Linked DNA regions of Rhinolophus ferrumequinum. The protein of the gene in region 3 interacts with the protein of the main gene of each other region in a biochemical or structural test. Links are inferred from orthologs where the notes say so. Each region holds a gene or a part of one and is shown on either strand. Other genes may lie near its edges. The genes, in order: FBXO21, NR0B2 and EID1.

What was found.
Region 1: of the proteins of EID1 (region 3) and FBXO21, one has a biochemical effect on the other in vitro, tested with the Homo sapiens proteins (2 studies listed by BioGRID, with this or other methods). The link is inferred for Rhinolophus ferrumequinum from reciprocal best matches to the Homo sapiens genes EID1 and FBXO21.
Region 2: the proteins of EID1 (region 3) and NR0B2 form a complex in vitro, tested with the Homo sapiens proteins (3 studies listed by BioGRID). The link is inferred for Rhinolophus ferrumequinum from reciprocal best matches to the Homo sapiens genes EID1 and NR0B2.

What each region holds. Positions count from the first base shown.
Region 1 is NC_046308.1:10,888,166-10,898,977, forward strand, and holds the start of FBXO21 (F-box only protein 21), read right to left. Parts: upstream 6,467-10,812; coding exon 6,228-6,466; intron 5,353-6,227; coding exon 5,217-5,352; intron 3,170-5,216; coding exon 3,075-3,169; intron 1-3,074. UniProt on the Homo sapiens protein: Substrate-recognition component of the SCF (SKP1-CUL1-F-box protein)-type E3 ubiquitin ligase complex.
Region 2 is NC_046292.1:18,426,695-18,437,506, forward strand, and holds NR0B2 (nuclear receptor subfamily 0 group B member 2), read right to left. Parts: upstream 6,200-10,812; 5' UTR 6,095-6,199; coding exon 5,551-6,094; intron 4,779-5,550; coding exon 4,480-4,778; 3' UTR 4,140-4,479; downstream 1-4,139. UniProt on the Homo sapiens protein: Transcriptional regulator that acts as a negative regulator of receptor-dependent signaling pathways. Specifically inhibits transactivation of the nuclear receptor with which it interacts.
Region 3 is NC_046289.1:58,193,751-58,204,299, forward strand, and holds EID1 (EP300-interacting inhibitor of differentiation 1), read right to left. Parts: upstream 6,007-10,549; 5' UTR 5,923-6,006; coding exon 5,347-5,922; 3' UTR 4,268-5,346; downstream 1-4,267. Other genes in the region: SHC4 (SHC-transforming protein 4), read left to right, coding at 9,511-9,564. UniProt on the Homo sapiens protein: Interacts with RB1 and EP300 and acts as a repressor of MYOD1 transactivation. Inhibits EP300 and CBP histone acetyltransferase activity.

The DNA.
Region 1 (10,812 bases), on a different chromosome or scaffold from region 3:
CTTATCACCTTGGTGATTACCAAAAAGTTAAATATTTCGCTTGTGTTCTCCCCCATTCTCTGCTCGTTTTTTCCAAACAACTATATTACCTCTACATTGTCAGGGCTTATAGCCATTACATAAATACTTTCTACCCTACTGTCTGTCATTTGGATTTAATTCTACAAGTAAACCAATATTTAATGCTCACCACTAGTTCTTATGTCCATGTCTCTCTGACTATTTGGTAGTTTACAGCTCATTTTCTAGCAAATTTCTCAGGATGGGCTCAAAAGTCCCCAAGTTCTTGCAACCTGGAAGTTTGTCTGCGGCCTTTATACTTGCAAGTCAGTTTGGCTGGATATAAAAATCTGTTGCTGACATTTTTGATCCTTAAGTATCTTAAATATGTTACCCTTTTTTCCTTTGTCACAGAGCATTGTTATTGAAAAGTATGATGATATTCTGATTTTCTTTCCCTCGTGACTTTTGTTTTTTGTTTTGTTTTTTGCTTGGATGCCCAAGGGACTTTTCTGTCTTTAATATCAGTATTTTTATCGAAATATGTCTCAGTGTTGGTCATTCTGGGTCAATTTTATAAGGTACTATGTACCCTTTTAATATGTTTTCACATCTTTATTGGGAATGTACTCTCTTTCAAGACCACATAGAAAACACCACAAATGCATTGTTTTCAAACATCCAGGGACTGGGGCTTTATAGAAACTACTTTTCTTCGTTCCTAAGCTTTCCATATCCAAACAAGCATTTGCCAGGAATGAAGACAAATAGGGTCCTTCTCGAAAACTGGCAATCCAAAATATTTACAAATATGAGAATACCCCTTGTTATTTGAAAACAACACTGTTTTCGGCTCAAAATATATGTCAGGCCAAGGGGTAACATATCTATATTTCTAAAAAGACTGTAACAATATATGTTTTTAATGGCTGTGCATACTCAGTCTCTTTTGCCAATCTGGTAAGTAAAAGAGCAGTATTTCACAGTTTTAACATTTCTTTGAAGAGTGAATTTAAAGGTCTTTTTACATGATCACCAGCCATTTGGATTTGCTGTTTGGTGGATATCATCCTCCTATCCTTTGGACATTTTTCAATTTCCTCTTGGAAATTTTAAGACTTTGTTTATGGTTTCTTTGGTCATACAGAAGTTTACTTTTTAATTGCAAAATCATTTGTCCATATTCTTTTATTGCTTCTGCATTACTGGTCTTGGTTAAGGAAGTCTCCCTAAATTGTATACAAAATCTCCTATTTTCTTGAGGGATTTTCATTGTGATAAAATTTAGGTTGTTTAGTCTTTTGGGATTTATTAGGTTGGTGCAAAAGTAATTGCAGTTTAAAAGGTTAAAAATAATTGCAAAAACTGCAATTACTTTCACACCAACCTAATAGTTTTTATATATGATGCAAGTTTTATTTTTTTCCAGGTGGATAATCAGTTATGCCTAATATCATTTATTAAATAGTCCATCTTTTTCCCTCTGAGTTTAAATATATTATCTTTTATGCTGCGACATGTTTCTGAATTATCCTTTCCCGTGGATGTGGCTATTAATTTTCACTTCAACACTGTATTGTTTTCATTAAAGGTAGCTTTACAATATGTTCTAATATGTAGTCATGCAAGTTTCCCATTGTGATTATTTCAAAATTGTTTTTTTCTGGCTTTTCTTGTGATTTTCTTCTTCTAGACAATATTACCCAATTAAGACACACATTAAAAAAACTCTCCCCTCCCAAAACTCTTGTTGGATCCTAACTCAAATGGCCATAGGTTTACGTATTAATTTTGGAAGAACTGACGTTTTTATGATGGTCAGTCTTCCCATTCAAGAACATGCTCTTATTTTATGTTTTTTCAATAATATCCTATAGTCTGACCTAGGAAGCTTATTCCCAGGGACCTTTTACTGAGAAAAGGAACCACCAAAACATCACCCTCCACAGTAACACAATAATGGAGAAGCAAACGGTTACTCTACAATAGAGGGGTGGTTAAATAACTTATGGTATATACTACAAAACAGTATTTTTTAATTAAACAATAAACTCAGTCTGTATATTACATTTATGTATTTCAAAGTATGTGGGTATATATGTAAAAAAGACAGGTCAGCTTTTATTTTTAAGGCTGCACAATACTGTTAGATCATACTCCAATTCATTTATAGATAAACCAAAATAGAAACAGAAAAATGACCTCTGCATCTGAATTCATCCGAGGCCTAGAACAGTGACACATCTTACCTCTCCCCTACAGTTGTTCCACTGATAGATACGTGTCATCCCTAAACTGCCTTAAAAACAACAAGAAAAATATCTTATGCCTTGTTTGTAAGGTATTTCCCAATAACCTCTCTCAAGGAAGATCCTAAACTAACATTCTTATCTTTCATCACTAGGAGAGTTTTCAGAACTTTTAGAGCAGAGAATCTTTCTCACAGGTAAGTTAGGCTGGAAGCAAGTCATTTTTCAGGCAAACTGGAAATTAACCCCCACAGCAGAAAATACGAGTCATAAAAATTCTAAAGCAACAACCAAGAGATAATGGATCCTTCTTGATAAGGAGAGATAAAAGAATGGCTCAACCAAATATCTCTAGTGTTTGTGGTCAAAGTAACATTATTTCTTCCCCAAATTCAGAAACTGTAACAAATTATCCATTCAATTAAGACATGCCCAAGAAATTATTTTTTTAAATATTCAATGCACGATAGGCAAATTTGGTGGTGGTAGGCGGAGGTGATAATAAAGGAAGGATAATTTATGTTACCTAAATGACATAATAGACACAAGTGCCCAGAGCACAGTATTTGGCCCACAATAGGACTAAATAAAATACATACTAGTAATTCTCTTCTTTCCAAAAGGATTTTTGCATGGTTTCTTTAAATATCAACTGTCTCAGTATACAGAATTTTTAAATAAATATAACTGTAGCAACACATGAAATTTCGGAAACACATGTCCCATGGTTCGGCCACATACAAATTACAGCAATTAATTCTGGGGTTATTATTAAAACAAATGAACAAACAAACCAAAAAAACCCCTGCTATAACTATGGCTTACCTTCCTTCCATGTTTAGGATACACACCAGTTCATCCTCAAAAAATATCTCTGGTCCCTCAAGATTCTCAATGTCACTAAAACCATTACAAGGGACCTATGAAGAAGACATATACAAACAGGCCTCAATAACGAGTAATGATGTCGTTGTCACTCTCATACACAAATCTGAGCGGCAAAGAAAGACGGTCATTTTCATGGAAGTGGTTAACAGCTATCCTATATTCTTTTGCACCACTTACCATGGGTGGAAAGTAACATGCAAAGTAACAATAATTTGTTTAAATCTTGTTGTTAGTTGTAAATTAATGATAGTTTCATACACTGAAATTTCTGAAACTGGTAACTCAAGAATTCTAATGGGAAGAAAAATAGCTCTGAAACAAGAACTAGAAATTGTAACAGCTATATACAATGTCAGAGAGGCAGTAGATTGGGGGAGGGGAGTTATCCCTTTGTGAGGGGTGCAAATGTCTATTACATTGTTTTGTACCCCTGAAACTAAGAAAACAAACAAACAAACAAAAAAACAAGAACTAGAAATATAAAATTTCTGAATTCACAAGAACTACTTCCTGCAGGCTATGCTGTACTCAAGAAGGGAGGGGCCGGAGAGAGAAGTCTAGTGCTTTGGGCAACTCAACCCACCGAGCATGTTTTGCATGTTTTCTCCTCTGTAAACCAAGGTGGTGGTACCAATAAGCTTTAAGATCCCCTCAGTTTAAAAGTCTAACACTTCTGCCACTTTTCTTTTTGAAGGTAGCCAGGGAATTTCATGTCAACCTGTGTGCATGCTGGGAACACAGGAATACAAGGGTCCTGAGCCAAAGTCGTCACCCACCCACAGATCAATCTTAAGTACACTCCTGCGTTGTTCAAAGTACTTGACGTACTTCTAATTAAGCAGTGGTATCAGGGAAGAGGGAGCTAAGGAAGAAACATAACAATTCATTATTATCAGACAAAGGCACAGGCTGTTCAAAATGCACACAAAACCAGCTGGACTAGAAGCAGAGGTTGCAAACTAGCAGCCCGTGACCAAGTGCATCAAACACTTGGTCCAAATACATGTGTGTGCAAACAACGTTTCAACCAGTTATTTAACATCTGTGATCATGCATGCTTTTAGCTAGGGCATGGCTTTTCCAAGTAGAAAATAAACTTTTTCCCTTCTAACGTTAACATTTATTTATAGAGATGAATTGCACTAAGGAATACCTAATTTTATTCTCCACAGAAGAATGCATTCAAATTTGTCCAAAGTTCAAAATTTGAACGTTCCCTTTCAAAACTTGACAAGCTTTGAAAATATTTCAAATGTATGAACTCCATTAAGTAATAGTAATTGAATTTAGAAAATAGGACTTCATCTTCAGTAAACCTGGAGAATAAAATAAGTAAGACTGGCTGTATTTCTAGACCCCCAATCAGAAATAAATTTAAAATATTGGGGTGGACTATTTTCCAGAGTCACAAAAAGTTAAGAATCAGGACCTGTGAACGCTTTGTGTTAAGTAAAAACAAAAACAAAACCATGCAGTTCAGCAATATTTAAAAAACAAAAACAAAAACAAAAAAACTTTTCAGGGATAATAAAAGTAAGACAATTTAATTGAGGGAGCAATAATTTTGATTTACAGATAGCTTTTAATCCTATTAGCTTAACAAATAATGCAGTTCACAACTGGTTAGAACCTGCAAAGCCAGAGAGAAGAACCGTATTAATTTCGTCAAGCCTTCTGGGAAAACAACTGGGTGAGATTTGTAGTGTTCAATCATCAATGATCCCCCTAATCATGTGGAGGCTGCAAAAAAAAAAAAAAATGGCTAACCCACTTGAAGAGAAATAACGCTGAAGAGAAAAAAAAAATCCCTCTACATTGTGTTGTGGGTCCCTCCCTCCTTTTCCACCCCCATTCTCTCTCTGGCTTTAGAAAAGTAAAGCTGGCAGGGACAAATGGCTTCATGTTGTTGGATGGGAGGAAAAGGACACAATGACTCTTGCAGCCATCTAAGTGAGTAAGGGATTGTGAGAGCACTGAAAAGGGAGATATCAAAAAGAGCTGGATGAGCTAATGCCTACAAACCCAGACACACACACCACGACCAGGCAAAAGCTTAGAGCCACATCAACAGATTCTTACATGCTCTGAAAAGAATCTCTTTGAGAACGAGGCTACAATCTTCCGGGCTTCTAACCCAGCTTTTTGCCGAACTTTATACTCCTCCAACCAATTGACGTAGTCAGTGGGGCTGTAGTGTTTCATAAGGGAAGGCCACCTACAAGGAGAAAAACACCCCCTCAGCTTAACAGAGACTCAAAGGCAGGCAGGCAGGCAGGAATCAAAGGCAGCCTTGGAAAACAGGGAAAGCAGTATGGTTTAGTGGTCAAGGGGCCCTGGTGATGGACCCAGTTCCAATCTCCACCCAACACGCACGCACTCGCTCACGGAGTGACCTTGGCATTGCCATAAGAATGCTTGTGTCTCCATTGCATCTATAAAATGGGGACAATTGTAGCGATAATACAATAATAGCGATGACAATGACAGTTAACATGCACTGCGCGCCTCCTAAGAGCTGGGCCCTTTGGCAAATGCTCCCTACACATCTCATTTAATAAGCACAGTCAAAGGTAGGTCTAATTATCAGCCAAGTCGGTGAACGAGGCTCAAAAAAGGGAAGTCTGCCCACAAGGTCATACGGCGAGTATGCCAGGGCCAGATTTTATCCCGGGTCCACACCGAAATCTGTGCTTCTCAACCACCAACCAGAGGATGCTGCGCCCGCTTCCTCTCAGGGCTGTGGGGATCACCGCATCACCAGATCCGTGTAAACATTTTAGCACAGTGTCGGGCACAAAAGAAGCGCGCAGAATGGATGAGCTGCGATACTACCGTCGTCATCCGTTAGGGAGGGCCCGGCTGCTGGGCGCTTCCCGATGCGCAATTTGGGCACCGGAGGGTCCGCGCGGCATGGACCCAAGGGGCCGGCGGCCTGGAGGCCTTTGTCTGTCGGTCCCCGGGAAGGGGTCTGGGGGTGGCATCCGGGGTGGGGTCCGCGCGCGGGCCAGGAGGCGGCGGCTCGGGCCAGCCAAGCCCGCGCGTCCCGGGGGCGCAGAACCAGGGCACCAGCGGCCAGGGCGGCAGGCTCACCTCACCCGGAACTGCTCCTTCCACACCTTCCCGCTACTCTGGCACAGCTCGCGCAGCCGCCGGCAGGTGCTGGAGACGCGGCTGATGTCCGCCGCCGACAGCGAGCCGCTGCACAGTATGTACTCCAGCACCTCGCCGGGCAGATTGACGAGGCAGCTGAGGCCCGCCGTCTCCGGCGCGGCCTCCTCCGCCAGCGCCTGCACCACTTCCATCGCGCTGTCGACCGCTGCTGCCGCCATCTTGTCCGCGTACCTGGGGCCGCTGTGCGCGCGCGCCGGGGGAACCCCACTTCGCTCCGCCCACCTGCCTTGAGGGGCGGGCCCCAGGATGGCCCTGCCCACGCCGGTAGCTCCACCCCCTCTGCCCAGGGTACTTGCGAGGACTGCGCCTTGGCGACGGGAAAGTACCGCGTTTTGGAAAGTAACTGGGCTGTGGGCCTTGGAGCCGTGGACCGACAATGACAATGACAACATCCATCTTTCTTATAGTGCTGGGCGCTTCCTGTGCAGGAGCTCGTCGAACCTTCCCAATAACCCTCTTAAACCATTATTGTCCCCAAGCTACGGATAGAGAAACTGAGGTTCAGGGAGATAAACAGACTTGCTCAGACTCCCTTGTTCTAGATTCTAATCCAGATCCTCTTGACTTCTGCTTGACCGTACTCTAAACTAGCATGCTGTGATCACAAACTTAATATTCTTGAGTGGATGCTGTGCCAAGCACTTTACATGCCTTCCTCAAGGACTCCTCATTTGGGCCCTCTATGGTAGGTACCATATTTGTACCCATTCTACAGATAAAGAAAACAAGGCTCAGAAAGTTGGGAGTCACTGGTTCAAAGTCGTAGAGACAAAAAGTGGTAGATTTGAATTCTCAAGGCAGAAGTTCCCACTCAGGTGTGGGTGGGTACTCTTTTCGGTGTCTGCCCTCGTAAAAGAAAACTCAGGTACGTTTAGTGCCAGGCACTGTGCTTTGTCCCCTGGGGATACAGAGGTGAGTAAGATGGTGTGCTTGCCTCTCAGGAGCTCCAACTCCAGTTGGGGTGGGAGGTAGCGGGGACACACAGGTACAGAACAATGTGTTGTCAGTACTGTTGTCCTGAAGGGCTCACTAACCTCCTCCTCCCCAACCTGGAATCAGCAGAATGCCCTGAGACAATTGAACTAGTAACTGTTACTTTCTGTGGATGTTGTTTTGCCTCCATGACTCTCTCTCTTGCCCTTAGGGATCTGAAATCCCTAACATTGTTGCAAAGACACAGACCCCTATCTACCACTCCAAGCCTGTCTGAAGACATTCTTTCCTTCACTAACCCTACCAGCCAGGCTGATCTCTTTCCTCCCACTTCTGGCCTTCACATGTGTACTATTCCCACTGCCTGGAATGCGCTTTATGCCGGCACTCCCTCCTTCTGGCTGCTCTTCTCTTCCTCCCTTCTCTCATCCCAGCCCCAGAGCCAGACACGGCACCTTTTCAGCATTTTGCAGTCGTGTACTTATTTACTTAATTGATAACTGTTCAACCTGCATCTTTCCTACTAGATCAGAAGCAACTTCAGGATCAGGATTGTCCGGATGCCCAGTTACTTTTCACAGGCTCTGCTCACAGCAGATTCTCAATAATTATTTGCTGATTACAGTTATCTAACCAGTTGTTTACAGCGAGTTACTTAGCCTTTCTGAGGCCCAGTTTCTCATCTGTAAAATGGGGATAATAATAATAATGTTGGCCTCCTGGGACTGTTGAGAGAATTAAATGAGTATGTTTATATAAAGTGCATGTGTACTGTGCCTGACACACAGAACACACTTGATAAAAGCATGTTTTGGGGGAATGGGAAGCAACTGCTTCATGGGCTCAGGATTTTATTTTGGATTGATGGAAATGTATTGGAACTCAACCGAGGTGATGGTTGCACAGCGTTGTGAATGTACTAAAATGCCACTGAATCATTCACTATTGAGTTTCATGTTATGTGACTTTCATCTCAATAAATGTGTTTGAAACTATGTTACTGCCTGTATTCGTTTGCTAGGGCTGCCATTACAAAGTGGCACAGACTGAGTGGCTTAAACAACACAAAGTTATTTTTTCACAGTTCTGGAGGCCCAGAAGTCTGAGATCAAGGTGTGGGCAGGGTTGTTTTTCTCTGGGGCCTCTCCTTGACTTGTAGATGGCTATCTTCCCTCTGTGTCTTCACGTGGTATGTGTGGGTGTGCGTGTGGGGGTCTTAACTCTTGTTCTTATAAGGACACCAGTCCTATTGGATCAGGGGGCCACCCTAATGATCTCGTTTGACCTTAATTACTTCTTTAAAGACCCTGTCACCAAATACAGTCACATTCTGAGGTCCTGGGGTTAGGGCTTCAAAATAGGAAATTGGGGCTGGGGCGGGCGTACAGTGTTACTGCAGCTGCTGCTACTATGGTCATTAAAACAGAAAGATTTAGAGTAACCCCTGGAGTCTGGCAGATCTGGGCTAGATCCTGGACCTTCATGCCTCTGAATTCAGTGGGCGTTCCCTGGCCTTGTTTTTGCCGTCTCCACAGCATCAGCAGACATTGTTTACCATGCTGTTTCTTCTCAAAAATGCTGACTCACCTTGGCCTCTGTGGCCCTACCCTCTCTTTAGGGCTGTTCCCTGTCAGTCTCCTTTGCCGTCTCACCCAGATGGTACATGTTAGGGTACCATGGGGCACAGCCACAGGCCCCTTCTTTCACTTTTCTCACCTCTGTCGACATCTCGAATGACAATCCAAGCTCAGCTAAAATGTCCACGTTTCTCTCTGGCCCGGCTCACTCCTCTGAGGTCCAGCCTTGCTTAGCCAGCCAACTGCTCACCTGACATTTCCTTTGGGCCCCTGAAATTGAACTTATCTGGGACTGAACTTACAGTTCCCCCTCCCCACTTACCTTGTCTTCTCCCAGTGGTTCCTGCCTTAGGAAAGGGTGCCACTCCATCTATTACGGCAAAACCGGAACTCGTCACCGTTTGGCACCTCACCATCCAAATGGTCCCTAGCGGTTAATATCTTTGTGCTTTGGTTTTCTCACCTATAAAATGGGGATAACAATAGACCTTCCTATTAAATGAAAATATGTATCAGTTACTGTTGCTGCATGGCTCTCAACCACTGTACATACTGTACTTACCTCTGTCCGATACTGTAGGGCCTGGAAAGATGGTTAAGATTTTATCTTAAGTGTGCTGGGAAGCACTATCCATGTTCAAATGCCCAACAGAGGTTAAGTTCTCTGTGCCTCTGTTTCTGGAACAGGGAGGCCATTTTCTAAAAGATCCTAATATTTCTTAGATTTGTCTCGGCTCACACTGTCCCAGCCCACGTCTGCACTGTGGTTCCCAACTGTTCTCATGGCTTCTGCCCTGGCCCTGAGAACACTCAGACATTGATAAACAGCTTCCAACCTGTTAGGTGCAAGGCAGACCCCACAGCTGCACAAATGATCGGTAAGCCATTCTTAGGAAAGACTATTGCTTTCTTATCAATGATGTCCTGGCCCTCATTCTTTCTTCCTGTCTTCTGACCAAAGATGCTGTCGGGAAAAAATTAAAATCTCCTGCCAATCTAGAAAATCCTTGCCGCCACTGTAGTAAAGGAGAACAGTTTTCTTTCTTTTCTTTTTTTTTTTTTTTTAAATTGGGGAATATTGGGGAACAGTGTGTTTCTCCAGGGCCATCAGCTGCAAGTTGTTGTCCTTCAATCTAGTCATGGGGGGACGCAGCTCAGCTCTAAGTCCAGTCACCGTTTTCAATTTTTAGTTGCAGGGGGCGCAGCCCAGCATCCCATGTGGGAATTGAACCGGCAACCTTGTTAAGAGCTCGCGCTCTAACCAACTGAGCCATCCGGCCGCCCCAGGAGAATAGTTTTCTTATTGAACAAGCATTAAACCAGACTGTGGGGTACATCACAGGTAATCTGCTGATGAGATTGCAAAGACAGAGAGAAATCCTACCCTTTTTATATACAACCAAGCACTGCATTACATACCTACTCTCGAGATTCATGGTAACTTGTCCTCAAGTGAGAGGACTTGACTGTACTATACCTTTGTTGTAAACTCTTTTCTAGTTCATCCTAAGCTTACCTGGTAGTTGGGATACTCATGGTGCTACCTAATTGCTTTTGTCTCAAGGAATAAGAAAACTTCTCATCTTTATGACAAGCAGGTAATTACAGTGTAGAACAGGGTGCTGACGCTAAACTTATATACAGGGAGATGGGGACACCACCTTCCTAGAACTTTCATTTCACAGAGACGGTTCTCAGGCCCTTACGCAAAAATATTCCTGGGTTGAAATACTGGGAAGAGGATTATTTTGAAAAGATTTGCAAACTGTAGTATATTTGTACTACGGACTATTATTCAGCCATATAAAGGAATGACACACTGATACACGTGACCACATGGACGAACACTAAAAACATTATGCTAAATGACATAAGCCAGACATGAAACGACAAATATTGCATGATTCCATTTCTATGAAATGTCTAGACTAGGAAAATTCATAGAGACAGAATACAGATTAGAGAAAGTTCTGGAAAGAGACAGTGGTGATGGT
Region 2 (10,812 bases), on a different chromosome or scaffold from region 3:
TACATTCTACCTTAGAGAGAGGTAGGGCGGGGAAGGAGGCTAGGTGCTGGTATTTATTCTTCAGTTGATCACCCCTGACCTTTAAAGTCGCAAGATAGCATAGTTTAAGAGCATAGACCCTAAATCCAGGCCACCTGAGTTCAAATCTTGACTCTACTACTTATGAACTGTGTAACCTTGAGCAAGTTACTTAACCTCTCTGTGCCTCAGTTTCTTCATCTATGAAATGGAGGTAATGATAGTACTTCCAGCACAGAGTCGTTGTGAGAATTAAATAACATAATCCATGTAACATGTTTGGAGCACAGCTTTCAATACATGTTTTGTAGGTACCCAGAATGACCTGCCAGGAATGGGTGGTCCTCTTTGCTAATCCTGATACTCCTGAGACCTTAGCCTTGTCACCTCCACCAGTTTCATTGGGACTGACTGGACTGTCTTTCTCTGCTGCCTTGTTCTGTGACATGATCGCTGTCCACCTCTCCAAGCCCATCTCTTGCTGCCCTGGGTGCCATCTGCCCCAGACCACTTGCAGTTACTAAATACCCTTACTGTCTGACACCTCTGTGCCTTTGCCCCTATCAGGCCCCCTTTCTGGAATGCCCATTGGTTTGCCTGGCAAATTCCTATTCATTCTCGCTCTTTTTTTTTTTTTTTGAATTATTTTATTTTATTTTATTGGGGAAGAGGAAAAGGATTCCACTGGGGAACAGTGTGCGCTTCCAGGTCTTTTTCCAAGTCAAGTTGTTGTTCTCTCAGTCTTAGTTGTGGAAGGCGCAGCTCAGCTCCAGGTCCAGTTGCCGTTGCTAGTTGCAGGGGGCACAGCCCACCATCCCTTGCGGGAGTAGAACCGGCAACCTTGTGGTTGAGAAGACATGCTCCAACCAACTGAGCCATCTGGGAGCTTAGCGGCAGCTCAGCTCAAGGTGCCGTGTTCAATCTTAGTTGCAGGGAGCAGAGCCCACCATCCCTTGCTGGACTCGAGGAGTTGAACTGGCAATCTTGTGGTTGAGAGCCCACTGGTCCATGTGGGAATCGAACCGGCAGCCTTCAGAGTTAGGAGCACAGAGCTGCCACCGGGTGGGCCCCCTATCCATTCTCTTTAGTTCAAAGTTGTCACCACTTGGCTGAAGCATTTTTCTTACCTCCAGGAAGATTTAATCACTTCTTCTGAGCTCTTTCTTCCTGTTGTACTCCCTCTAACACACTTCAGAATTATTACTTATGTGTCTTTCTCTACCATAGATAGGATGTTCAATGAAGTTAGGGACTGCAGCTTATTTATTCAGCGTCACTGGCATCTAGCACAGGGTCTGGTGCAAGTGGATTTCCAGAGAAATGTTGAATGATGGAATGAATGGATGCATGGCTAGTGAGTGTTGGCTTTTTGCCAGCATTATAGGTTCTAGGGGATAAGTGACTGCCCCAAAGGCAGGGTGTGTCTGTGCAGGGCACAGCACACGTCAGCAGCCTGATTGCTTAATAACAATGATTTGGCTAATGAAGGTAGAGGTAATAATGATAATAAAATGGTACCTGAGGCTGACCCTACTTCCTAGTGAGTCATCCTTGGCTGGACCTGAGGACAGAGATCATGGCTGAAAGGTAGATGGTCAGTAAACAGTAGCTGAGCTGGCTCCAGACAACCTGATCCTGGCCATGAGTCACTCCAGCCTATGCTGGTGGCAAGAGCCAGGCCTCCAGCATCCCACAGCCCTGAGGTGAAATCCCAGCACAGTGATTTACCCACACTTTGAGTAAGTTGCTCACCTTGTCTGAGCCTGTTTCCTCCTCTACCTCCCTGGTTTATGAGACACAGGTCCCCCTCCTAAGATGCTGGTAACAGAGAAATAGCCTCCACCTTTGGAAAGCCTGCAGTCTCATGGAGAAAGCATTCTTTTCCTTATTACACTGTACTACAGTTCTCTCTTTAGTTTTGCTCTATTTGTCTTTATAGTCCTCCCAGAAAGCTTGGGTACATGTGAGAAGCAGACAGAAATGTAGCTCCCAGACCACAGGGAAGAGTAGGGAAGGAATTTGAAAAGGGGAAAGATAGGGCTGATAAGGGAAGCTATTTGGATGATGCAAACAAGTTGTGGTGGGTAGTTCAGAGGAGCACTTTCTAATGGATGGCTGTTCAGGCTTAGCGGAGGGGCGGGGTGAAAGACTCAGCCTGAGGATTCAGAGAGGTGCAACAGTAAACTAATGGAATCAGTGTGTGAAGGGCCATAAAAGATAGAATAACCCGGGAATCCTGGGATCTGCTGGATTTAGATCCTACCGGGAGACGAGGCACCTCCTCTTGAAAGAGTTGCCTCCTGCATCTGCAAGGTGAGGTGGGGCCGTGTGGGCCAAAGTGCACAGCAGGGCAGGGAGAGGTGCCTGGGGGCCTGAGGTCTGGGTCTAGGGGTTTTGTGGGGAGTGGGTGGGTAGGGGAGAGGCAGGGCTTGTTGTGAGCTCTAATGGATGCTTCCATTTGGGAGTTTGATTAGCTCATGCCTGAGCGGACTGTTGAGCAGGGCAGGGTCTGGCTGAGAGTGGAGTGGCTGTTGGGGTCGCCGTGGGAAAAGGGGATGCTTGGTTAGTTGAGGTCCTGAGCCCCTGGCAGAGCAGTTTGGCCTGGGTAGACCTGGAAGATGTGAAGATGCAGGTCTACCTACTTTGGGGGCCACTTTTCCTTTCCCTGTGACACACAGAAGATGGAGAACATGCCCTGGTGTAAGGGTATCTCCATGGTGTGTGTCCTACCTGTGGGCGCAGGGTTGTGTGTGTGATTGTCTGGCCTGGGTGCTTGTCTCTGTGGTGTGAATGTGTTTGGGTCTGTTGTATGTCACTGAGTGAGTGTACCTGTATTTCCACGCTGTGTGTGGGTTCATGGAGGGTGTGTTTTACGGGTCTGCTTAGGCATGTCTGAGTTGTATGATTTAGTGTGTGTGTGTGTGAAAGAGAAAGCTGTAAGTCTGAGTTGTGTGAGTCTTTGTTGTGATGTCTAAGCTGTGTGTTTCTGTCTCATTTTGGGTATCTGAGTGGTGAGTGAATGATAGGGTAAGGGACAGTGGTGCCCTTGCTGCTGGCACCGGGTGCCCGTAATTGGTACATGGCCAGTTCAGCTGTGGTCCCTGTCCTGGCGGCCTTAGGGAGAGGACTGAATAATGAATCGATTCCTAGACTGTTGTCCCTGAGTGAATGACCTCTCGTTCAGCAATAATTAACTTGGCCCCCGTGAGAAGAATCCAAACTGTGGTGGTGAAGGGGGTGGGGCCTGGCCTAGGCAGGCCTATTGCCGGACAAAGGAGGAGGCCTGAAAGGGGGTCCTATAGGCATGTGTGTTGTTATCATTCCCTCCTGTCCATCCTGCAGGTCAGTCACCCTGACCTGGGTGATATCCAAAATATTTAACAAACGCTGAGGAACAGAGATTGACCAATCAGAACAGACACAAACCACACCCTGAATGGAGAAGTCCTGGAGGCCATGGCTATGCCAAGCATTTCCTCTCTAGTTGCTGGACAGTGGGAATGGATTCCAGGGACAGAGGGGCAGTGGAAAGGAGCTCAGGAGGGCTTGGGGCAGTGGCTGTGAACCAACTGTCGTGGAAATGTTTTAGACTTTAACAGCTAGTATGGCAGCTAAACCAAGGCGGTAGCCAGGCCAGCCCTGGATACCCTTGCCCCCTCCCATTGGGAGAACAATAGGCCATCCTCTTCTGTTGTCTGAAGGCCTGGAGGAAGTGGATGATGCCGAACTGCAGAAATTCCAGTGACCTTGTCCATTTCAGTTAGGGAATGGGCTGCTTTGTTTTCCTTATTGTCTGTGATTGGGCGCCTGTAGTGGGCAGGAGCTGAGGGGTCAGTGAGGGGTTTGGGGACAAAGAGAAACTGCTCCCCCCACAGAAATAAAGGCAAGGAGGTGACGGGGTCCTGAACTGATCCTATCCCCTGGACTCAGAAATGTGCAAAATCAATCCCATCCTCAGAAATGAAATCATCATTCCACTCTGAAAATTAATATCCTGGTTCTCTGAGGTCTGGCTCTTGCACCCCTTATGGTTCCTTCCTCTTGGGCTCCCTCTGATGGGGGCAGGGTGGACCCTGGCGGTGAGATGGTCCCTTCCAAATGTACAAAATACAATGTCAGCCTCCAAGGGTGTAAGCCTTTTATTACAAAAACCAATAACTTAAGTCAATTCTGTACAGTCAGTAGGACTTTTGGCCCAATGAGCCGTCTAAGCTTCCGTCTCCATCCCAGGAGAGGACAGGATTCTTGGCCCAGAGACTCTGGGGACCTCCAAGGGCCGGCCAGACAGCTGGAGCACTGTGTCCAAACCAAGGAAGACCAAGACAGGCTGTGGCTGAGTGAGAGGGCACATAGTCCGTCTGGCTGGGCTAGGGCCAGCTTTCTCCTAGGGGGCTGAGTGCTCTCTAATAGGCTTGCCCCCTCTCAGAGCATTGGGTCACTTCTGGGGGCAGCTGGGCCAAATCAGCGCTGCCAGCTTCTGCCCAAACTATACCTGATCTCTGCTTGGGCTGGAGCAGGTCGGCTCAGCAAAAGCATGTCCTCGAGGAGGCCAGCGATGTCAACATCTCCAATGATAGGACGAAAGAAGAGGTCCCCAAGTAGGCTGTGTGGAATGGACTTGAGGGAGGAGGCTGTGAGGAGGACATGGGCCAACCGGCCTTGGCCTGCTGGGCACCAGGGCTCCAGGACCTCAAACAGTGCCTGATGAGCCTCCTGTTGCAGGTGCCAGATGTGGGAGGAGGCATGGAGACCTGGCATGTCTGCGGGCAGAGGGTGAAGAGCACTGGTGAGCATCCCACTCCCAGCCACCACAGGGCGAGACTGGCCCCAGACCTGAGGTCACTGGGAAAATTATCTTATCTCTGTGCCTCAGTTTCCTCATCTGTAAAATGGGTATAATAATAGTTCCTATCTTGTAGGCTTGTTATGAGGTTTAAATGAGCTAATATATGTAAAAAATGGAATCGGGCCTAACATACAGTAAGTGTAATATGAGTATTTCGCTAGATTATTATAATTAATTACTATAATTTACGTATTCCTTGAGGGCCTGTTGGTGAGGAATTCTTATCGAGATGTTCTCCAAATTACAAACAACACTACCTCTATCCCTTGCTCTCCTAGCTAAATGGTACAAAGACTCCTTCCCCACACTCCCTCATTTTCTTTCCTCTTCTCTGTGTGGTCTTTCTGAACCCACAGTTTTACCTTGACTGAGGCATAGCTGTGTCTGCCCAACCTCCCCTCCCCCACTCCTTCTTTTCCTGAGTGTCAGGGCAAGCTTCTTGGGCAGAGTGGTAAGGGCCAATCTCTAGTATGTACAGACCTGAATTCTAATCCCTGTTCTGCCCCTTCCTGGCTCTATGACCTTCAGCAGATCATTTAGCCTCTGTGAGCCTCTTTTGTGAGATGACTGGAGATAAAGAGGACCCAAAGAGATAATGAATGTCAAACCCCTAAAAGGTGCCTTCCCTGGCTGGGCCCTGCCCCCCTCCAGCCTCGGCCCTTATCCTGGAATGTCTGAGAGCTCACCAGAGTTGAAGAGGATGGTCCCTTTCAGATAGGCATATTCTTTGGGGCCCAGCTCCAGGCTCCAGAAAGACTCCAGGCAGCACTGAAGCCACTGCACCGCAGCTAGCGAGGGCTGGGGCCGATCCGGCATCTGGCCGCTGCCTGCATTGCTGCTGCTGGGCTCCTCCAGCAAGATCTTCTTGAGTATGCTGGGAACCGGGGCCTCCGCCACCTCGAAGGTCACAGTGTCTTGGGCCAACCCAATCAGGAAGAGGGGGCCCCAGCAGCCTCGCAGCAGCTGCCGCTGATCCTGGGGGGGCAGCTGGCAGAAGGATGCCAGGTTCCTGAGGAAGACCACGGTCTTGGCCAGAACGTCCAAGGCTTGCCTGCAGGTGCGATGGGGAGCACGCAGCCGGACAGGCCGGTGCTGCCTGCACAGGCAGTGGCTGCGGGCAGGGGGCACAGAGGGCCTGGCCCTAAGGCTGGGGCTCAGGAGTGCGTACAGAATGGCTGGGCGGTCTGCAGCACCCTGACATGGGCAGGTCCCCGGCTGACTGGAGCTCATGGTGGAGGAAATGCTCCTCCTTCCTCCTGCTCTCCCGCCCTCTGCACTGTGGGCACTATTTATATTCCCAATGGGGAGGAGGGGGGAGCAGCCCAACAACCTTGACTCCAGAAGTCATATTCATTGAAAAAAAAGAAAGACACTGACCCTGGCAGGACTGGTGGGGAAGTGCTGGGGGCGGGGGCCTTGAGAGCTCCACGTGGCCCTGATAGGCTTCAGTCAATGAAGTGGTCGGTGCAAGGCATGGGGCCACCTGTCCGCTGGGCCGGCTGCCCCTTATCAGATGACTCAAGCAGATAAACAGGGTCATTAACCCAGGCTGTACCAGGGCACCAAGGCCTCAGGTGCATAATCAGCAGGTGGCCATGGCAGGTGTCCCTATTGGTGCCTGCAGGACTTTTGCTAAGCTGGGAAGTCAGCCCCAGAGCTGGACAAGCCTTGAATGCAAGGCCCAACCTGGAAATGCCTTATCGCTGATTTGTTTGCCTAACCTTGGGGCCTAGCTCCTGTTGTTGGTAAGGAACAGGCTGCAGAGAAGGGAGCCGGGACCCTGGGGGGCTGGGGAGGACTTTGCCCACTGAACAGTTTAGGAGGCCCCTTCCTCTGACTCCAGTTCTGGGGGCCCTGCAGAAATGAACTCTCTCTCCCCAGTCTGTATTCCTAGAGCTCCTGAAAGGCCGTATCTGCTGAGAAGCACTGGCAGAATGATAATGTAATATGGCTACTGTTTATTGAACACTTTCTATGTGCTACTTTCCACTCTAATATTCAGAGCTTCCTTATGAAGCAAGATTTTTACTTTTTGAGATTCACAGAGGGGAAGTGACTTGTCCAAGGTCATGCCACTAAGAAGAGACAGAGCCCAGATCTATCTGATTTCAAAGTCCTTGCTTGTTCCCCTGAATCTACTGGCCCAATTGTGCAGCAAGAGCTGTGTGGCCTGAGTTTCCCAGAGTTGGTGGCTACCTGGACCCCTACCTTGGTGCTGCCTGGTCTGCAGATGTTGCCCACTTATGATCTAGGCAGAAATGTTGCTTTGCTACCAACCACTCAGCAACTCTGTCTCAGACAGTGGGGCATATTATGTGAGAGTGGCGGGAAGGTCCTCGGCTGTGTCATGTCTGTGGACCTTGGCAAGCCCAGCCTGGGCAGCCATCACCATCCCTGGCATCTGCTCCTGGCTCTATCACTTTACAGTTGTGTGACCATGGGCTGATTTCCAAATTTCTGTGGGCCTCTGGAGTTTCATTTGAAACAGTAATGCCTGCCTGCAGGGCTGCTGTGAGGACAAAGTGAGGTCCTGGATGTCAAATTCCAAGCAGTTTTTGGCATACAGTAGAACTTTGCTCCCCCATTGCCTCTGTCTAAGGAACTAAGCCCCAGCAGACAAACAGGCACACCTCTTTCATTTGATTGTGAATTGTCTTAATCTTAACATGTATAAAGTTCCTTTCACATCCTTTTTCTCACTGAATTTTCCACAGCGTCCCCTCAAAAGAGACTCTGGAGTCAGATTGCTTGGGTCCAAATTCTGCTTCATCACTTAGCTGAGTGACCTTGGGCAAGTCATTTTATATTTCTGTGCCTCAGTTTCCTCATCCTTAAAAGGGTGGCAACAAAGGCCAATAGTAGATATTGGTTTATGGGGCTTGAAGCTTATACAATTTGAAGGACCCTCTTTAACAATAGAGAATCAGGTATAGAAGTGAATATTTAAAATACGAAAACAAATCACTACCAATTACAAACTAAAATGAACTGACAGAAAATACAAATGTCACAAACCCAGGAGAATAGCAAGATACTTTTACTGGTTGCCTGACAATATTTGCCTACGTGTTTTAGCTGTACCCTCTTTGCTCACCTTTTCACATGTCAATACTATTTCTTTTGAAAGCATCACAAACACAGAAAGATTGCAAGTACAGTACAGGGAACTTTTTTTTTTTTTTTACCTTGAACCATTTGAAAGTAAATTGCTAACTTGATGCCCCAGAACTCTCAAATACTTTAGTGTGTAATTCCTACAAACAAGGACATTCTCTTATAAAACCACAATATAATCATCAAAAGCAGGAAATTAACAATGAACAAAATCAGGAAAGTAATATCTAATCTCAGACCCCATTTCAGTTTCACCAAATGCTCTTGTGAAATCAGTGACAGTGACCGTGCTCAGTCCAGAATCTCACATTGCATTTCTTTGTCATGTCTCCTTGGTCTGTCAGTCAGTAAACTTTCCCTCTGTCTTTCCTTGCTTTTCAGGACCTTGACACTTTTGAAGAGTTGTAGTTATTTTGTAACAAGACTCTCAATTTGATTAGATTCAAATTATGTATCTTTAGTAGCAATATCACAAAACTGATGTTGTGTTCTTCTTGACTATTCTCCATTTGGCCCATGGTTCACTTTGGTCACTTAAGGGATGTCTGCCAGGCTTCTCCACTATAGTTATTCTTTCTCCTTTGTAACGAATCAGTATTTTGTAAGGAGGCACTTTGAAACTATGTAGTTATTCCTCCTCATACTTTGATGTATGTATGTATGTATGTATGTACGTATGTACATATGAATTCATGGTCTCCTACTTTATTCAGTGGTTTGTAATCTATTACTATCATTATTTATTTTGATGCTCAGATTGTCACAGATTTGGCCAATGGGAGCCCCTTCAAGCTTGAGTCTATATATATCCTTTCGACATTCCCCATTGTTCCTCGAACATCCCTTATTTTCTGGTATAACAAGGTGTCTTTTTTCCAGCCTCTGGAATCAGTCAGTACTCCAAGAAGCTCTGATTCAATGTTTTAGTGGAGAACAGTATTTAAAAACCATAATCTGGGCACTAGAGCCATGTCTAGAAACCAAGACCCTCTCATTGCAATTAAGGTGTCACTGCTCCCAGGCCCTCCCAGAGCTAAGAAACGCCCACATGTGCTCACGTACAAACACACACACATTCATACTTAGTTCTATTAATTATTTATACATATTAAAAAACCATGAGTTCAGACTATTATCTCCAATTCTAATACACCGTAAAGGGGGTTATTGTAGTTTTCATCTCCATTTATACCTCCATCTTCTGACACTGAGCAATCTGGCTTCCATTATTCTTAATTTATTAACCTGTTGCATCAAGCCCTTGTTTTTAACCAGTCTTCCATTTCTGCCACCACTTTGTCCCATATGAGATACCTTCCTCACCCATTGGGCTCTGATACCTTGTGTCAGGCTGCCACCTGCCACTCAGGGACCCCCTTCTTCTCCCTACTGAGCCCCTGTCACCCATGCCAGGTCACCGCTCTGTGTGGACACCCTCCTCACCATGCTGGGGCTCTGACTTTTGCTCTGGGCCACTGTGGCTCCCGCCTCCTCTACTTGGGGCGCATACCTCTACCTTGTTCCACACAACCTAATAGTTTTAGGACTGAAATTTTCAGGAAGAGAAAAGAAGGGGAGGAGGTAGAGCTGTCAATGATTTTTAAAAATAAATTTCTACAGTGAGACTAGAGAGATGATTTTATCTTTTCACTCGCAGGATTGATCAACAAAATTTCATTCTTGATAAGAGACATAAACTTCACACATAGATGTATATGCTACTTGTAGCACTGTTTATAGGTTTGTAGTAGGAATTTTCATAAATTCTACTTTGTGTAATTCTTATCAAAAAAGAAAAATATGCATGAAGCATTTATAATTGCATATGCTGCATTATTCCTTATAGGAGAGAACTTCTCTTTTGAGTTGGTGTCAATATGAAATGACAACTTAGTGATGACTAAGTGATAGGATTTGGTGCAGCTTTGCTTTTTGTTCTACACATACCCTGTTTCTTCCCCCATCACCGACGTATTTCCAGGTGTCTTGGGAATCATTCATATTGGGAAGTGGGATGAGAGTGGGAAGAAACAGTGGTCCTAACCAACAAATTTTTAATCAATTTAAATTTTTATTTTTTCAAATTAAAAAGAAAAAATATGTATGTATATGAGGTCTGACAATTACATTCGTGAACTTGATATCAGAGGGATTATTCATTATGAAGTTGTACCAACTGGACAATCAGTTAACCAAGTTTACTACTGTGTTTTCCTGAAAATAAGACCTACCCCAAAAATAAGCCCCAGTTGAGATCGTCAGCCAGACAGATGCATTTAGTATGTTATGACGATGTCTCAGAAGAAGATGACATGACTGTATTTGAATATAGATTGTTGTACATGAAAAAAATAAGATATTCCCTGAAAATAAGCCCTAATGTGTCTTTTGGAGCAAAAATTAATATAAGACCCAGTCTTATTTTTTGGGAAATACAGTATAAGACGTGGTCTTATTTTTGGGGAAACACGGTATTTGGAAGTGCTGAAAAGGCTGTGTGAAAAAGTTAGATGATCTGAACTTTTCACCAACAGTTCATGCTTCTTGCATCACGACAATGCACCAGCTCACATGGTACTGTCTGTGAAGGAGTTTTTAGCCAATAAACAAATAACTGTATTGGAACACCCTCCCTACTCACATGATCTGGCCCCCAATGACTTATTTATTTACCTTAAGATAAAGAAAATATTGAAAGGACGATATTTTGATGACATTCAGGACATTAAGGGTAATACGACGACAGCTCTGATGGCCATTCCAGAAAAAGAGTTCCAAAATTGCTTTGAAACGTAAACTAGGCGCTGGCATAGGTACATAGCTTTCCAAGGGGA
Region 3 (10,549 bases):
ATAATATGGTCTGTGCCTGTTTTCATTGTGAACCTTATTCTCAAAAACCAGCATTGCTGAAGCAAACGTAAAAGACATACAGGTATTGGGCTGAATGTGTATATTAAAAAAAGGACACGTTTGGACTTGATTTTTTTTTTTTTTTAAAAAAACTAAATTCTTTGTGTCAGGTTATTTATATGTAGCAAAATCTAATTTTTCCTTGTCTAATATGTAGTGATTCAAGACTTTTAATATTTAATATTTAAGGTTTTACTCTATGGAGTGTGCTGTTGATCAGGGACTCAAGGAAGGTTTAACGTATACTTAGCAGTGAGAAAACACTGAGAGATTTTGAGGTCACATGAAATCCTGGCTTTGCCGCCAATGAGCACGTTACCCTGCCACGCAATTTTCCTCATCAGTAAAATGAAGATTATAGTATTCATGGAGTTTCTGAGAAGATGGATTTAGCAATATTGTAGTCTATATCTCATAGGGTTATTTAAAGGATTAAGTAAGATAATGGATGTAAATCACTTAGCACAGTGCCCGTTACATGGTACTTATTACTTACTCAAACATTCTTCCCTGAGAACTTTTTATGTACTCAGTACTTAACAAGGGAAGCATATTATAACATATAATTATATATTTATCAATAACATATAAGTACAGTTATATACATTTTGGCTTCCATTTTTTTTGTCAATAATTTCACTTGTGGTTTTGAGGGCTGCTTTATTTTCTAAATTCAAAAGCAGAATAAAATACATTGATTACACAGTAGTATAAGTCATCATAGAGGAAAATGCTTAATGTGAAACAGTTCAAAATAGATTCCTGTCCAGTTGGCTCTTCATTGGTTATCCAAGAGAGGTTATACTGTTAGTATAATGACAGCAGAACATTTGGGACTGTACTTGGAAGATGCAATTTTTGAGTAGAAGGTAAAACATTCATTCAGTCTTTCGGATGCTGTGCCCTTAAGACATTTGCAGATGTAAAATTTATTTTTAGCTTTCACCCACGTGTTTGGTACCAGGGTTACCCAATGCTTTTAGTTATGAGATCTCATTGAGTATAGGAGCCCTTGAATTATGAGTTTTGTAGGAGAGGAAGAGTAGGAAGAACTAGAGCCAATATGTTGACAGTCATGTGCAGAATCTAATGAGCATTTTAAAAAATGGCTTCCCATTGGGTGACTAAAAATATGGTGATTTAGGAAGAATAGGGCTGTGGTGTGTGGTAGGGGGCTTAGTTTATTCTTAGCATTTCCTTCTCCTCCACGACGTTTTTCCAGGCCAATGAGAGGTGGTATTGCCACACACCCATAATCTTTGTGGCAGAATAGTAGGGACTGTGGGCATGGCTGGATTCCACGACCTGTAGTTATAGCAATGAGGTACCTTTGGGAGTGAATCACCTTTTCTGCACTGGTAGCACGGAATGGAGTTGTATTCAGCCCACTGCTAGAATGGGAACGAAAGTCAGGATCTCACTGATAAAATGTAATAGCTCAGGGACGGCCGGATGGCTCAGTTGGTTAGAGCATGAGCTCTGACCAACAGGGTTGCCGGTTCGATTCCCCTATGAGCCAGTGAGCTGTGCCCTCCCCAACGAGATTGAAAACAACAAGCTGCCATCGGGGTGGCTGTATGGCTCAGTTGGTTAGAGCGCGACATCTCAACAAGGTTGCCGGTTAAATTCCCGCTTGGGATGGTGGGCTGTGCCCCCTGTAACTAAGATTGAAAACAGCGACTGGACTTGGAGCCGAACTGTGCCCTTCACAACTAGATTGAAGGACGACGACTTGGGAGCTGATGGGCCCTGGAAAAACACACTGTTCCCCAACATTCCCCAATAAAACAAGAAACAAAACAAACCCATAAGCCATAAAGTGAAGAGCAATAATTGAAAAAAAAAAAAGTAACAGCTCAAGTAATTTTGAACTATTCTGCAGGCCTGAGGGAAATGGCTTGGGGTGTGGGGCTTATAAAAAAAAGACGTGTCGTACTCTGGATGCTTCAACTTGAAAAACTTTATATATCCCATCAAGAGGGCAACTAAGACGTTCAAGGGGTGAAGGCAGCAGAGACGCGACCTTATGGATGCAGCATGAGAAAAGGATTTATTAAATTCTCCTTAAAGAAAGCTACCCTTTGAAGTTCTAAGATAAATACAAAGAAATACTAATGCCCCCCGCCCCTTAACATCTAAGATATACTTTGGACTGAAAACATAAACAGGTTCAAGTTTGTAGAAACATTCATAGATAACAGAGCTTTTATGGATCAGATGGTTCATATTTATTTTCAGCCACTGAGAACTTCAAAAATAGAACTGATTTCCTCCCAGAAAATGTCTCACAGAACCTCAGAGGCAAAGATAAAACTATATTAAACATGTAATGCTGCAATTTTTAAAACTTACATTTTGGGATGGGAAAACACATTTTCGAAAAGCAAGTTATAGGGTTTTTTGTATATTCCTTGTTTTAAAAATTTAAAAAACAGACTTCCTTGACATACTTTAATATATGTAGTGTTCTAAACAAAAATGTCAGTCTCACTAGCTTCTACTCCTATCTTTATTAATTTCTACACTTCTCCCACCAAGTTTAACAACTACTGAAATTGAGAAGGGTAATAAAGAGATTAAGAAGGTAAAACAGGCAGAAAACTTAAGACATCCTTTAGTCTCAAGTATCTAGAGAGGCCAGGCAGGTAATGCAAACTGTTCAGGTACAAGAAAAAACAATGGTGCAAGCACAATGATAAATGGTGAGTGCCACTTGGATACCATGTTGGGGAGACAACATTGGGGAACATGGAAAACAATACCTCCCCTATATAAAGGTGAATCAGATACTTATGACCATGTCACTAAAGGTCAAAGATGGAAATCTAGGAGTTTTGCTATTCTTTCTCACATAAGTGTTGGTTTTTAATTAAGAAATTAAAATTATAAGCATGAACCAAATGAAACAGATGTGTCCTTAGGGCAGCCAATGTGGGATATGATTTAAGCAAACATTTATTGTACGTATGAATAGATTCAGTAAATGCTCCCCAAATCACACTACATGCTCATCAACTTTTTTAAGTTCCCTCTACTCACATCACAAAATCAGGATCAGAATTTCCCCAGAACTGCTTTGTTTAGTTCCCATCAAATGAAGATATACATGTATCTAATCCCAATTTTTCGTTAAGGACCCTGAAGCAGAAAGATCAAGTAATTTAAGCTAGTAAGTAGTGGAGACTAGATTTGAACCAGGTAGGTTAGTTCCAATCTGTGATAACTTTTATAACAGAAATACATTTGATTTTACACCCTTACAAGGGGTATTAAAAATATTACCATTTTCTATCTTTAGTAAATTAACAAGTGTTAATTTCAGTGATCTCTCAAGTTATTGTTTATTTTTAAAACCAACCACCATCAGAGGAATCAGCTGCGGAGTTCAGCAGGTCTTTCCCCACAAAATAAGCCTTCAAACCCAACAGGGAGTTTTCTTTTCCTGCTCCCTACTTAGTCCCAGAGAAGGAATCACACCTCCGGGTTTGTAAACCTGTTTTTTCTAAGCCTGTTTCCTGGCATCTTTACCTAGAGGTAAATGCAAGTAGTGAGTTCATTGTGTATTGGCCTCCAGTTTTTATTCAGAGTACTGTTAATTCATATCACATAAGCAATTATTTATCCAGTCTTCTGACTGCAACTACAAATTGTCTGAAAATGCAATGAAGGAAGTGAGGCATGGGGGAGGCAGTGGGATTAAGACGTTTGTCACCTCCTGTGTAGTCTTTCCCCTATCTATCTTCTGCCCCTCCAAGCTAGTGTTTGAGTGATTGTCATCCTTGTTAGTCCCCTATTTTACAGAAAAAAATTCCTCTGAAAGGAAGGATGACTGTACGATAAATTAAGGTTCTGAACTGTCCTGTTGTATTGGATGTGTCCTCTACAGCCATAATGGAGCAAGAACATCTAGTAGTTTGATTTACTGGTCACAGGCTTCTGACATAATCATCATAGAACTTTAGAACGTTAATAACCACAGCAACATACTCATTAATAGCGCAGGTTTCCCCAGGTTGGCAAATTCTTACAGGAATTTACTGTTTAGTTTCCCAAGTTAATTTGTAAATCAGGTTTTGAAGCTGGAGCACGTTCCCTTATAAATTGTGGTTAAATTGAGAGCATAAAGTGGTTGCAATACAATAAAATAGTATAATACAATAAGAAATAATATGTAAAGTATGTATGCAATGCTATTAGCCAAACAAAATACACAGAACAAGAAATTTTATTATCTCGAATGCTGGTGCATAACCAATAACAAGCTTCATTAGAGGAGGAGACAGAGGGAAACTTCAGAAACTTCAGGTGGATTTCTGGACAGGTTTAAAAACCTTTAAAAGTTGATGGCATAATTGTTCAGTCTTTTTTAAATGTAGGGCTTTCCTTTTACTTGACAATTTTCACTTAACAGTTCTTGTTAAAAAGTTCAACCAGTCTTTTGCCTGTAAAGTTAAATGAAACCAGAGAGCAAGTAAAACAGAAAATTTCTCTAGTATATAACAATGTTAGAAGTAGTTTTTCTTTGTTCTTTCACATACATTTTAATGTCTAAATTTGAAAATTTACTAAGGACTTTCTCATTTTTGACTTTTAAAAATGGTCAAGACAATGAATTTTCTTGAATTACGGCTCACAGTAGCTTTATAAATGATCAAGATACATGTACAAAATTTCAGATGTTCTTGGAAACATTTTAAGATACAGCACACATGATACATATTTCTTTTTGGGTTTGCTTATCCTTCTGGGAATACTAAGAATATTCAACTTATCAGACCCTATAAAAATTTAGCCTTGCTAGATCACAAAGTGGAATCTTCAAAGTTTTCTTATCAGGTTTTCAGTCCAAATAACTCAAAGACATCTCATTTCCTAAGTTGGAAGTTACTTATTCTTTCCTAATTAGTATCAGTGGGCTCTTGTACTGGCAGTTTGTCTTGGTCATGATTTATTCTTGCAAAACCATCCCGTAAAGTGAAACAGGAAAAGTCACTTCCCCCAATGCAAAGAAAATAATCTGGATTAATAACAAAGTCAAAGCCATACGTGTTGCAGGACATTCTTGAAAACAGGTTTCGTCAGTCCTCAGATCCTTCTTCTTTGTTTTCTTTTTCACAACGGTGCAGTCACAGCCCTATTCTATTCTGCAAAACAAACAGACAAAAAACCATTTTCTGGTGAACATCCAGTTCTTCATTGGCACGGAACTATTTGGAATAAACCCGAGAGACAGTGGAATGTTGGGTCTCTCCTCAAGTAGTTTCCTCCTCTGCTACCTGCATGTAACTACTCTCTGTCAATAATCTCATCACAGCCGAGTTCTTCGGTCAGACGATTGACAACCATGAGTGAAAAAAGCTCTTCAATAAAAGCCAACTGATCAAACGGGGTCTTCTCGTAATGCATCTGAAAACCGCCATCCAGGGCTGCTTCTCTTGCTCTGGAGGTTCTCAGAAACATCTTGTTGGCTTCTTCCAGGGCTGCGGAGACTCTGTAGCCTGCACCACTCAGTTGCTCCTCTTCCGGATAGTCGTACTCATCCTCCCAGTCATCAAATTCCTCGCCCTCGTCCTCGCTCTCGAAGTCAGGGCCTGCGATCTGGCCTGGCTGTTCCCCGGGGTTGGGGCGATTAGCAAGGCTTCGTTCCCCCTTTGGCTCCGCCATTGGCTGGGCCGCCTCCTCCTCCATCGGGCCTTCTTCCTCGAGCTGTGGCGCGGCCCCGTTGCGGGAGGGGTTCGGGGATGGCTCCCGGCTCCCGCTGCCTACCTCCATCTGCGGAAGGTCACTCTCGCCTGGCATCACATCCATCTGCAGGTCGTTGCTCTCCTCATACAGCTCGGACAGCTCGTTCATTTCCGACATTGTGCAAGCGGCTCAACCTCCTGCAAGGCGTTTTCGACCAGATCGGAGTTACGCGGCCCCGTGGTTGTGCGCGTGCGCGAACGGCGTGCGCGACCTGTGCGTCTGCGTGACCCCCAGACACCGCCTCCCGCTGGGCGCGCCGGTCGGGCGGGAGCCGCTCGCGGTAGTGCCCCGTGGCCTGGTGGTTTATGTGTGGTTCCATTGGAAATTCACACCTAAAAACTGCATACGAGAATATTAATTCGTCTTCGCCTTACTTAACCGTTCTGCTGCTTATGATGCTATAAACCGGAAAATATGTGCCCGCCTTAACAACGCTTTATCCTCCCCCTTGTCCTTTCCTCCCCCTCGTCCTTCCTCCTGCTCCTCCTCCCACCACCCCGGGCAATCGCATCTGCTCCTGTTAACTACCATTTTACTGTCTGCTCTACTGGCTTCTAACTCCGCTCCTCCAACCACACACACTGTTCTCAGCCACAAATCAGCATGTTAAGAACTGATGCATTAAACACTTTTTCAATTTTTCTCATTAGAAAAAGTTAAATTTACAAATAAGTATATTATCCGTGTCCTTTTACAAAAGTTAATACTGAGAAAATACTGGGTCCCATTTCTTTTTACACGAGGTAACCTTACACTATTATTGGTGTGTATCCTTTAAATCCTTTTTCTTTGCATTTACATGGATCTTAGGTCCTCGTGGAAAAAATCTTCCTTTTTTAAAAAACATGTCTCACATAACTGCCTTCAACTTACAAAACAAACCCCTCAGCAGTGTCTTGAAGATTTAGCTTTGTTAGTACACATATTTTTTCATAGCATTCTATTTGTAAAGCTGTACTATAGATGACCTAACTATGCAAACATAGTTGCCCGTTTTTTGATACTATAAACTGGATAAATGAACATCCACATGTGCCAGTGCTTCTCTAGAATAAATACCTAGAAGATGGAAGGTGTAAGTGCAGAATATGCATACTTTGGTTTTAATAAATACAGTCAAATTGCTCTCCAAAGTTCCTGTACAAATTTAAGCTCTAGCCAGCAGTGTTTGAGAATATCCACACCCTCGCCACACACAATTTTGTTGAACATGAACAATTTTATCAATTTAATGGTATCTTGTTTTATTTTGAATTCTCTTGATTTCTTGGAGATTGATTATTTTTTAATAGGCTTATGGAACATTTGTGTTCTGAAAATCAACTGGCTTTGTTTTGGGTTTCTTTCTTTTTCTTATTGATTCATAGGGATTCCATATGAGCTCTGTATATAAATACTTCTGTTTTACATGTTCCAATATATTCTCTCTTCCTGTTGTTTGTATTGTTCCAGGAGTCTTTTCTTATATAAAAGTTTTAAAATGAGGTTTGTTTTTTTTTAAAGATTTTATTGGGGAAGGGGAACAGGACTTTATTGGGGAACAGTGTGTACTTCCAGGACTTTTTTCTAAGTCAGGTTGCTGTCCTTTCAATCTTAGTTGTGGAGGGTACCGTTCAGCTTCAAGTTGTCCTTTCAGTCTTAGGTGTGGATGGCGCAGCTCAGCTCCAGGTCCAGTTGCCATTGCTAGTTGCAGGGGCACAGCCCACCATCCCTTGCAGGAGTCGAACCGACAATCTTGTGGTTGAGAGCCAGCGCTCCAACCAACTGAGCCATCCGGGAGCTCAGTGGCATCTCAGCTCAAGGTGCCATGTTCAATCTTAGTTGCAGGGGGTGCTGCCCACCATTCCTTGCGGTACTGGAGGAATTGAACTGGCATGCTTGTGGTTGAGAGCCCACTGGCCCATGTGGGAATCGAACCGGCAGCCTTCGGAGTTAGGAGCACGGAGCTCCAACCGCCTGAGCCACCGGGACGGCCCTAAAATGAGTTTTTAAGTAATCAAATGTGAAGGTTTTTGTACGTTTCTTTCTGTCTATTAAGATGGATTTTTCTTACCTCAGAGACCACAAACATAATCTTTATCTGTCTTCTGATATACTGGTAGATCTTATATGAATCAAACATTTGTTTATTTATACAGATGAGTACAGAATTTATAATATTTATATATTTTTACCATATATATAGCTAATTCAGCCAACTCCACTAATTTAATCACTTGTCCTTTTCTCTGCTGTTTGGTGCCACATTTATTATAGACTAAAAATCCATGAATATGTGAGACTGTTTTTAGACTTTGTATTTTAATGAATTTCTATAGTTTTATAATATGCCTTGCTAATAGGAAAAAATTTGATCTCTGTTCTTTAAAAAATTGTTTTAGCTTTTTTTGCATATTTATTCCATGTGAATTTTAGATGCAGCATGAAAAGTTCCCTGAATGACATTAGTGGAATTTTTATTGGAATTGCATGTAAATTACAGACTAATCTGGGGGGAGAATTGACATCTTCACAATACCCAGATAAAGAAACACCATTTGCAGGGTCCCAGAAAACCACTTGCTCTCCTTTCCTTTGCCCCAGACGTAACCAGTATCAGACTGCAGACAGAGTAAAATAATTTTGCCTGTTTTTGAACTTTATATAAATTAAACTATGTGGCATATATTCTTTGTGTTTGGCTTCTGCCCAAGAAACATGGTGTTGCTATGTAGTAGTTCATTGTTTAAATATCACAATTGTCACTAGTGGATTGTTTCCAGTTGTGGGCTATTATGAAAAGGAGAGTCATTTTCTTTAGACTATCTTTTGGTGTTCATATTTACACAGTTCTGTTGGATATACATCTAGAACTGCTTTGTCATCGTAGTATAGAAGCAACTTTAATAGCTCCGAATCTACTTCTGAAGGCAGTATTAGCTAATAGGTACACAGTTGGTATTTTAATGAACCTTCAAAACAGTATGATAAATGCATCTCTGGAAATTGGGATTGTGGGGATTACAAACTGTGGGGATTACAAACAAGCAACCCTAGAATATCAACTAAAAGAGAGAGTCTTCTTGGCTAACTAATGCAGTTCACTCTGATAGTCTTACTTCTTACTGGAAATCTTAATGTTAGTGCCTTAGAATACTTTTGGTGGAGAATGACTGCAGCCCAATTCAAACTAATTTATATAAAAATAAATTAATAAGTAATATAGAAAAAGAGATAAAGGGTGACGGGAAATGTATTGGTTGAAAGGATGAATCAAATGTTACCACCAGACTTTTTTCTATTTTTAAATCTCAGCTGATTTTCTCCAGAGAGAAAGCTTCATTTTGCAGCAGGCTTTTCCCACATGTCAGCAAAAGATGGCTGACTCCCAGAAGCTTTGGGCTTACACGGTCCTTAATGGCAGAGAGAAATGTATTCTCTCCTGTTGTCCATATCAGTTCCTCCCCAATGACATTGATTGGTTCTGCTGTATCCAGGTGTCTTCTGATTGGCCTACGTCTTATGTCCACTTGCAAGGAGAGGGGCAATGAAATGGGCATGTCAAATACATCTAAGTGAGATTATTATAGAATGTGGGTGAAGTGGTTTCCAAAGGATGTCGTCCAGGCAAAAACAAAAAGAAATGTACATTACTGTTAGATTGTATGTAACTAGGAATAATTAATTTAGAGCATCATACATGTTTAATTTGTTTATGTTTTCCAGATTATTGCAAATCATCATATGCAGTCTATTTCATTTGCCTCTGGAGGGGATCCTGTAAGTATGGATTCATAAAAATTCTTCTATATAAGTTAAAAGAATTTCTACATAAAGCATGTTAGACACTACATGTCTTTTCTAAATATCTTATTATAATTTGTGAATAGCTACATATAACAGGTAATCAAAAATGTGGTTTGACAAAATATTTCCTGTTACTGATTTTAAAAATAGTTGGATTAGTAGATTATCTAATAATACTTCATTGTGTTATTAGCCATGGAGTTATCTTTTGAGAAGCTTCTTGTAGATAATATCAAAGTCATGAAAAACAAATGTGTTATACATCTGTTGCAAGTCCTTTCTCAGAATTCTTCTCAACACAGAGTTCCAAGTAGATCCTACTAATCATTTGGATTTGGCAGATGAGGAGAAGCCTATCTGCCATACATGGCAACTAAGTCTAATCTAGAATGAGCAATGAGGTTTGCAGAAACTTATGGAGGTAATGCTCAGCTGGGGAGAAAGAACTGCAGTTCCTCCCTACCACGAGGCCGCGTAGGGCTCATTTTCCATGAATGGTGCAGGACGGAGCCAGTGTTCTCTCTGCAACCTACTTTGCAGAATGAAGGGTCATTCTCTGACTCTGTACTGCATCATTTCTGGACCAGAGCAAAAGGAGAGGGGTAATGAAAGTAGGAATCCTGTGGCTGAACAAGATGCAAATCTATTTAAACTAAGGTAGTAGAAGGAGGTTTCTGCTCTTCCATGACATCGTGACATTTTTCTTGTATCTGCAAACATACAGAAGATTAGAGGAGGGGACAGTCTGACTTTCATGATTGATCATCAATAATGTCAAGAAAACATGGGGAACATATACTGGCCTTACCCTTACTGACAATGTATTACCTTCTTTTCTGCAAAGCATTTATTATTATTAAACATTATATCCTTCAGAAATGAGGCAATAAAATCCACTTTAACAGTTTTTTTCCCTCCATTACATTTAGTTTCTTTCTTTCAACTGAGGAATAAAATT